2 linked regions of the Cricetulus griseus genome follow. The protein of the gene in region 2 interacts with the protein of the main gene of each other region in a biochemical or structural test. Links are inferred from orthologs where the notes say so. Each region holds a gene or a part of one and is shown on either strand. Other genes may lie near its edges.

The links. The genes of interacting proteins can lie anywhere in the genome.
Region 1: the proteins of Klf4 (region 2) and Hdac2 form a complex in vitro, tested with the Homo sapiens proteins (2 studies listed by BioGRID). The link is inferred for Cricetulus griseus from reciprocal best matches to the Homo sapiens genes KLF4 and HDAC2.

Annotation. Positions count from the first base shown.
Region 1 is NC_048595.1:259,837,556-259,841,744, forward strand, and holds the start of Hdac2 (histone deacetylase 2), read left to right. Parts: upstream 1-1,358; 5' UTR 1,359-1,573; coding exon 1,574-1,625; intron 1,626-4,189. UniProt on the Homo sapiens protein: Histone deacetylase that catalyzes the deacetylation of lysine residues on the N-terminal part of the core histones (H2A, H2B, H3 and H4).
Region 2 is NC_048595.1:88,330,855-88,335,196, forward strand, and holds the start of Klf4 (Krueppel-like factor 4), read left to right. Parts: upstream 1-1,507; 5' UTR 1,508-1,984; coding exon 1,985-1,989; intron 1,990-2,106; coding exon 2,107-2,227; intron 2,228-2,865; coding exon 2,866-3,850; intron 3,851-3,963; coding exon 3,964-4,128; intron 4,129-4,342. UniProt on the Homo sapiens protein: Transcription factor; can act both as activator and as repressor. Binds the 5'-CACCC-3' core sequence. Binds to the promoter region of its own gene and can activate its own transcription.

The sequences.
Region 1 (4,189 bases), about 170 Mb from region 2:
CTAAAATCCCATATGAGCGAGTACATACCATGTTTGTCTTTTTGCGATTGGGTTACCTGGCTCAGAATGGTTTCTTCTAGATCCATCCATTTTCCTGCAAATTTCAAGATTCCATTGTTTTTTTTTTTTTTTTTTTTTTCCGCTGAGTAGTACTCCATTGTGTAAATGTACCACATTTTCTCTATCCATTCTTCGGTTGAGGGGCATCTAGGCTGCTTCCAGTTTCTGGCTATTACAAATAGTGCTGCTATGAACATGGTTGAACATATGTCCCTGCTGTATGAATGTACTTCTTTTGGGTATATGCCTAAGAGTGGAATTGCTGGATCTTACTTTAATATCACCTCTTTAGGGAGGAGGCAGTGTGCTTGTGTGCATGTAGAAGGAATTATAAATGGTAATAGTTAGGAGATGCGAGTGTTGCATTAGACTGTCAGCTCCCATCCTTTCCCTGGGCCTTGCAGGATGGCTTACACAGGTGCTCAATAAATGTCACTCTATTAAACACAGGGACTCAATTTTTCAAATCCTTTCTTTGGATTTCTGCTCTTCTCCCAGTGCCCAGCCAATACCACATCCAGTCTGATGCAGTAGGCAAAGCATGTGGAGTCTGATAAAGTTCGACACCCCTCCGGTCCTCAGACCATTCCTTAGCCGTTGACAGCATCACACTCCCCCCATCTACTGGAGCCTATAAAGAAATGGACATGCACGTGAATGCCAGCACTTTTGACAGCTTTATAAACACATATCGGTGCTCAGAACCGTGCTTATACTCAAGTCCCACGAATACTTATTCAATCCAGGAGGTACAACCTGCCATTAAAGTCTCTAAGTCAGTAACGAAGAGTTATCAGGGGCTGAGGAGGGGAGGAGAACACGCGAATCTCGGAAGGCGTGAGAATCTCCGACCACCACACAGCGGGAGAGCACCACCTTCTGAAGCCCTGGGGAGTGCTCAAGCGGGTTCCTCTCGGGGTCCCCGCGGCACGTGGCGGGCTGGGGCCGGAGCGTCGCGGTGGTGGGGGAGGGGAGCGGCGTGGGCCCCGCGGAGGGGTCCAGACAGCCCGGGATACGTTTGAGCAGGCGCCGAGTGCGCAGGCTCAGTCCGGGCGCAACCAGTACCTGCAGATCGGAGGGGGAACCCGACGGCTGCGGGGGTCCGGGCTGCGAGCGCGGAGCCGAGATCCGCTCCCTCGCACCTCGGGACTGCGTACGACCTAACTGTCACTACACCCCTCCCGCCCCATCCGGCGGCGTCCACGCCTAACCGACCCCTGCGTCCGTCTGCAGACGCGGTTTCCCCTGTCACTCCATAGTGGTCGCGCCCGCCTCCCAGCCCCGCCACCCTGGGCCTCCCCCGCCGAGTGTCGCGCGTCGGCGCCGCTGCCACCCCCGCTCGGTGATCACTGCCTTCCCGGCTCCGGCTCCCATCTCGCTCCGGGCCGTCCTTGTTCCGCGGGCCGCCGCGCCCGCTGTCCCCTCAGTCCCCCTTGTCTGGCCGCCGGGCCGCGGCGGGCGGGAGCAGCCGGAGGAGGAGCCGCAGCCGGGAGGGAGGCGGCGTCCCGAGCCCATGGCGTACAGTCAAGGAGGCGGCAAGAAGAAAGTGTGCTACTACTATGACGGTGGGTGGCCGTGGAGCCAACGGCGGGGCTGCGGGGAGGGCGCGGCGGAGCGGACGCGCCGCTCGGGGTGTTAAGGGTGGCTGTCTGCGGGGACAGGGACACGGCCTACCCGGCTTCGCGGTCGTGGCCCGGAGACGGCCGCCCTGGCTCCTCTCGGGTCCTCCGCACGGGCACGCGCAGGTTTGGGGTGTACTGCCTCGAACCGGTCCCCGAGGAACCCCACTCGGCACCCCGGGCCTGACTACACAAAGCCGGCGGCCTGGAGCTCCGCCCCACGTCCCCGTCCCCTCCCCCGCTCGCCGGGTCCCCCTTCTTGCTGGCGATCTGTCTGTGCTGCGCTTCCAAGCCTCACCGGGACCCCGCCGCTCGGGTGGGGCTGCGGAGGAGTTACTCCTGGCGGGAGGCCAAGTTCGCAGAGCGGCGCTGTCTCGCTCGTGTTTTGCGTGGACTCCATCCCTCGCCTTTGTTCGCCGGGTTCTTTGAGCGCCTCTTTCTCAGGGTTCGGACTGAAGGGCTGCATGCACTTCCTCGGTGACAATTAGGGGTTTGGAGTTGGAGCTAGGCAGGCCTGTGGGGAAGTAGTAAGAGGAGGGAGGTAAGCTTGGAGTTGTTCCTACTAGATGGGTCCTAGCATGCCTCTGTGGGAGGTTGTTACCACCCACGTCTTTGTTGCTCTTTGTTCGATATGCAGTTATACCCTGCTCTGGGGGGGTTAGGAGAAAACATGGGCACCTTGCTTAGGAAGGGTGGTGGGGACCCTGCTGCAGGAAACTTTTGAGAAGTGAACTAAATATTCCAAACAGGTAGGGTGGAGCTCACAATGTAGTTAGTGAATGGTACAAGGTGGTGGTAAGGGGTGATTTGGAGTATGGGCAATAATTGTCTGAGTTCTATAGGCTGAGCAGGTCTCGGGTCTCAGTTACACTAAGTAATGCCCTGTCTTTCGGATTTCACCAAGACATTAGTAGATGACTGTTGAGAGAAGGAATAATTTGACAGAACTAGCCTCATTGCCCTGAAAGACCTGACTGATAATCTACAAAGCAATGCAAAGTTGGGAGCTGTTTTCTATATTTTTTGTGTTGAAGTCACAGTATCTTGGAGAGGTAGATAAGAGCCTAGAGATCCTAGGCTGAATGAAACTGACTTTAACTTGAAAATAGTCCTACCTATTCTTGGTTTGGTGGAAATTTTTAATGCTTGGATTTTTTTTGGGGGGGTGGTAGGGGGCGGTTAGAGACAGGGTTTCTCTAGGTGTATCCCTGGCTGTCATGGAACTCGATCTGTAGACCAGGCTGGACTTGAACTCCCAGAAATCCTCCTGTTTCTGCCTCCCAAGTGTTTGGGTTAAAGGTGTGTGCCACCCCTGTTGAGCATTAATACCTGTTTTAATAATAATGATAATAATAATAATAATGAAAGACACCCATGTCTTTGGCTGGAAAATCAAAAACCTTGCAGAAAGCTAGGAGAAAATAGAGAAGACTATCTAAATGACATTTTGTTTTGTTTGGGGGCTTTTTTTTTTTTTTTTTTTTTTTTGAGACAGCCTCTCTGTATGTGGTCCTGACTGCCCTAGAATTCACTATGTAGGCTGATGTCTCACTTACAGAGATCCATCCACATGCCTCTGTCTCCACGTGCTGGGATTAAAGGTGAGTCCTTAAAGGTGAGTCCTTAAAGGCGTGCCCAGCTTAAATTTCAGAGGACTATGTATGTGTTGAATAAATTTATGTGAAGTTACACCATCATGGAGGGAAGAGATGGGAGAACCTGTCAGTTTAAACTTGAATTACATTGTGAAGTTGGATTCATGGCAAACACTTGTCCTGCATTCTCTGATCCACTGGAAAAGATGTAACCCTGTAAATGAATTTGAAAAATTATAATTATAGCTTTTCTAAAGTAAAGGCTCGATTTTTGTTAGAAAGGTTTAACAGTCGGAACGGGTGCTTAGGACCTTCAGCTGTCAGCTGCTGTTGTCAAACAGGACTGTAGCTGTTTCCTGAGCAGCTATTGGTTCCTGAGTTCATGTTTGGAGGTGAGCCATTGTTGAGGGGCAGGATAGGCACTGGTCACAGAGATGGGAGGAATGGAGGAGGTTTTCAGTCATTTGATTTTTTACATATGCCTAGTTGTAAGCAACCAACTGTATAACTGATGGTGGAAGTCTGCTGGGTTATCTGTCTCTTGTCTGTTCTTACTTGGTGTGTATTTAGAATACACTTACTTAACTTCTGAATATTTGCATTTGGGGGAGCTAACAAAACCACAGAGATTCTTAAATTGATGTCATGGTTATGCTGATTAACATGGGATGACATGCTAGACTACACAAATTATTCTCTACACTTCTGTCTTCAATGCCAAACCCTATTCTTGTTTTCAAAAAAAAAGCAGTGACTTAATTGTCTTTTAAATTGTGGACAGAGGGTGCCAAGTAAAGTAATTTTGTATAAGAAAAGCATATGACTTTTAGATGCACAAAGGGTTGGGTTGGCAAAGGGCAATACCAGTAGTAATGGGACTTGAATAATATACTAGTTTAAGCTAGCTGGGGTTTT
Region 2 (4,342 bases):
TGCACACACTGTCTGTGCTGGAGCACCGAACCTTTCCTAAGTCCCTTTCTTATCTTCCTGAACCCCCTGCCTTCAAGTGACTCCGCCAGGAGCGAGGAGATTCAACCTTGAGGGCGGTGGAGCCCAACTATGTGCGCCCAAATCCAAAGTAAACACCCAGTCTTCATTAGCAAGTGATTCTTAACACCACACTCACGTTTTGGTTTGGGTTTTTTTTTTTTTTTTTACTTTTTTTTTTTAAGTACTGTTTGTAGAGATGAGGGCGAAAACATATTCCGGCTGGAAAATTACTGATCACGCACTAGGAAGGTAGTGGGGATGGGAAAAGGAGTTACAAGACCGAAATAAAGACCGATTGCCATTTCCCCTCCCGGTGGGCCAAGGGCCTGGGTGCCACTTTTAGAGAACTAGGGTCCCACCGCAGTGCTCCATTTCCCAGCACACGGTCACCTCCCAGCAAAGTCCCTCTGAGTGGACTGGCCAGCTCGAAACCTAAACTGAAGGGAGCGAGTTGTCCTGTGACCTTTACCTCGCCGCTTCACCTCTTTATGACTCATTTTTCTCATCTTCAAACTGAGAGTGCGAGTGCGTAGCCTGTAAAGAGCTTTGAGATTCCTGGTGAAAGGTATCTCTGCGCCTGGATTCCTCCTTGCGCTCCCACTCCCCGCAAGTAAATCTGGAATCCTTTAACTCCCTTCCTTGCTCTTTCCATTATCAAAACTGTAACTACGTGCCCATCCTGGCCTTTTTACTCCATAGCAGACCCTACTCGGAGCTCCTGAGACTCCTAGCCCCCCGTCACCCGGCCCCTATCCCCAACCCTGCAAGAGGCCCCACGGGCACAGCCCGGCCTCTGCGTGCGTATGCGAGGGAGGGCGGGCTGGATGAGTCACGCGGATAATCGCGCTCTTGGGTGAGCAGAGTCGACAGGAGCAACCGCGAGCAGGAGTAGGGGCTCGCCGCCGCCCCTCTCCCCACCAACCCTGTCCTGGCAAGGGTTCCCGTGACCGGGCTTTCGACCGTGGCCGCACAGAGGACCCTAAATCGCCGTGCCACTGAAGCAACGCCGGGATCCTAGCGCCGAAGCCGCCGTCGCCGCCACCGCCGCCGGCGTCAGCACGGCTCCAGCCCGCCAGCTGCCCGGCTGGCGTCACGGCCCAGCCCCGCCCCGCCCGTGCCCCTCCCTCGCCCCCGCCCCCACGTGCGCGGAGTTTGTTTATTTAGCTGTCATGGCAACGCGCAGGGGGGCTGCGGGAAGGCGGGGAGAAGAAAGGCAAGGGGCGGGGCCTGGCGGCGGAGCCCCGCGCGCCACGGGGAGGAGGCGGGGGAGCGAGCGAGCGAGAAGTTATAAGTAAGAAGCGCGCGGCGGCCGCCGGCAGTTCCCCGGCCGAGAGAGCGAGCGCGGCTCCGGGCGCGCGGGAGCAGAGGCGGTGGCGGGCGGCGGCGGCACCGGGAGCCGCCGAGTGCCCCTCCCCGCCCCTCTGGCCCCCCACCCAGCACCCGCCCGTGACCCGCGCCCATGGCCGCGTGCACCCGGCGCAGCCCCCAGGACTCCGCACCCCGCGCCACCGCCCAGCTCGCAGTTCCGCGCCACCGCGGCCATTCTCACCTGGCGGCGCCGCCCGCCCACCGCCCGGACCACAGCCCCTGAGCCGCCGACAGCCACAGTGGCCGCGACAACGGTGGGGGACACTGCTGAGTCCAAGAGCGTGCAGCCTGGCCATCGGACCTACTTATTTGCCTTGCTGATTGTCTATTTTTTTAAGAGTTTACAACTTTTCTAAGCATTTTTGTATACAAAGGAACTTTTTTAAAAAGACATCTCCGGTTTATATTGAATCCAAAGAAGAAGGATCTCGGGGAATTTGGGGTTTTTGGTTTGGGGTTTCGTTTCTAAAGTTGTTTTTAATATTCGTTGACTTTGGGGTTCGGGTACCCCTCTCTCTTCTTCGGACTCCGGAGGACCTTCTGGGCCCCCACATTAATGAGGTAGGTAAGATGCTGGGCTAGGGGAACATTAAAGGGTGAGAATTGGTGGGAAACCTCGGAGCAGTGGCCAGGGTAGCCCCTGACTCCTGGTCCCTGTGCGCCCCGCCCGGCCCGCAGGCAGCCACCTGGCGAGTCTGACATGGCTGTCAGCGACGCTCTGCTCCCGTCCTTCTCCACGTTCGCGTCCGGCCCGGCGGGAAGGGAGAAGACACTGCGTCCAGCAGGTGCCCCAAATAACGTGAGTGTCGCGCTAGTGCCCGGTAGATTTCTGGGGATGTTATGGGGTGGATGGGCAGAATCCAGGGGTCAACCAGGAGCCCCTGGCTAGGACAAGAATTGCCCTCCGTTGAGACTCTACAGCCTTCCCAGGGTGGCTCCTCGGCCCTTGAGTCGGCCTTAAGTGCGTGTGGTCCCGGCACTACGGTACCGCCAGGGGCGCACAGCGGTTCCTCGCTGGTCTCCCGGCGTCCGGGCCGTGGGGTGGGTGCACGAGGACCACTGGTGGCCAAGTCTCGAGACCCTCTGGGCACGAGTGAGCTTAGCGCGTAGGAGACCGGGTGGCTACGGTGCATGGGAGAAAGCCACAATGTCCTAGTGTCCCAATTCCGTGGGCGGCTGGAGCGTCTCGAGGATCTGGCTGGGAAGAAAATTGGGCTGGCGGAGGTGCCGCACTAGTTTGAGGTGGAACCGACGGGCCGCCTCTTACCCGGGTGCTGGCTGAGATTGAAGCGCTGGCACCTGGAGTCCCTGGAGCTGCCTTCCTGCCCTGTCCAGTTCCTATGGCAGGAGTCTGGTGTGCTTCATCCAAGTCGATACTAGGAGTGGCAGCAAGGGGCTACAACTAACCACTTCTCTCTCCCTCTCTGTCCTTGGCAGCGCTGGCGAGAGGAGCTCTCTCACATGAAGCGACTTCCTCCACTTCCCGGCCGCCCATACGACCTGGCGGCCACCGTGGCCACAGACCTGGAGAGTGGTGGAGCTGGCGCAGCTTGCAGCAGTAACAACCCGGCCCTCCTACCCCGGAGGGAGACCGAGGAGTTCAACGATCTCCTGGACCTAGACTTTATCCTCTCCAACTCGCTATCCCACCAGGAATCAGTGGCCGCCACTGTGACCTCCTCGGCCTCAGCTTCATCCTCGTCCTCCCCGGCGAGCAGCGGCCCTGCCAGCGCGCCCTCCACCTGCAGCTTCAACTATCCGATCCGGGCTGGAGGTGACCCGGGCGTGGCTGCCGGCAACACAGGTGGAGGGCTCCTCTACCCCCGAGAGTCTGCGCCACCTCCCACGGCCCCCTTCAACCTGGCGGACATCAATGACGTGAGCCCCTCGGGCGGCTTCGTGGCCGAGCTCCTGCGGCCGGAGTTGGACCCAGTGTACATTCCGCCACAGCAGCCTCAGCCGCCAGGTGGCGGACTGATGGGCAAGTTTGTGCTGAAGGCTTCGCTGAGCACGCCTGGCAGCGAGTACAGCAGCCCGTCGGTCATCAGTGTTAGCAAAGGCAGCCCGGACGGCAGCCACCCTGTGGTGGTGGCGCCCTACAGCGGTGGCCCGCCGCGCATGTGCCCCAAGATTAAGCAAGAATCGGTCTCCTCCTGCACAGTCGGCCGGTCCCTAGAGACCCATTTGGGCGCTGGACCTCAGCTCAGCAACGGGCACCGGCCCAGCACACACGACTTCCCCCTGGGGCGGCAGCTCCCCACCAGGACTACCCCTACCATGAGTCCCGAGGAACTGCTGAACAGCAGGGACTGTCACCCTGGCCTGCCTCTTCCGCCAGGATTCCATCCCCATCCGGGGCCCAACTACCCTCCTTTCCTGCCAGACCAGATGCCGTCTCAAGTCTCATCTCTCCATTACCAAGGTCAGTGGGGGAAGGGATTGGTAGAGCTGCTGCTGGGGAGTTTTGCCTATGGGATGGGGGGAAGTTCTCGGAGACTCCTGAATGAAAGTTGACCCCCCACTTTCTTTACCTAGAGCTCATGCCACCGGGTTCCTGCCTGCCAGAGGAGCCCAAACCAAAGAGGGGAAGAAGGTCGTGGCCCCGGAAAAGAACTGCCACCCACACTTGTGACTATGCAGGCTGTGGCAAAACCTATACTAAGAGTTCTCATCTCAAGGCACACCTTCGAACTCACACAGGTAAGGGGACCAGCGCTGTGGAGGAGGGTTGGTGTCTGTCTGCTCATAGGCTGGCTGTGGATTCCTTAGGGCTTTCTTAGGTGCTGGGGTGTATCTCTTCTCCATCTCCCGGATCACAGAGAAGGGCAGCAAACAGGCGCCTGTGTTTTTGCCCAGAAGCCTTTTGCTTGATGGATGCTATCTGCTGCCTGAATGTGCAGTTTCTCACCCGGCC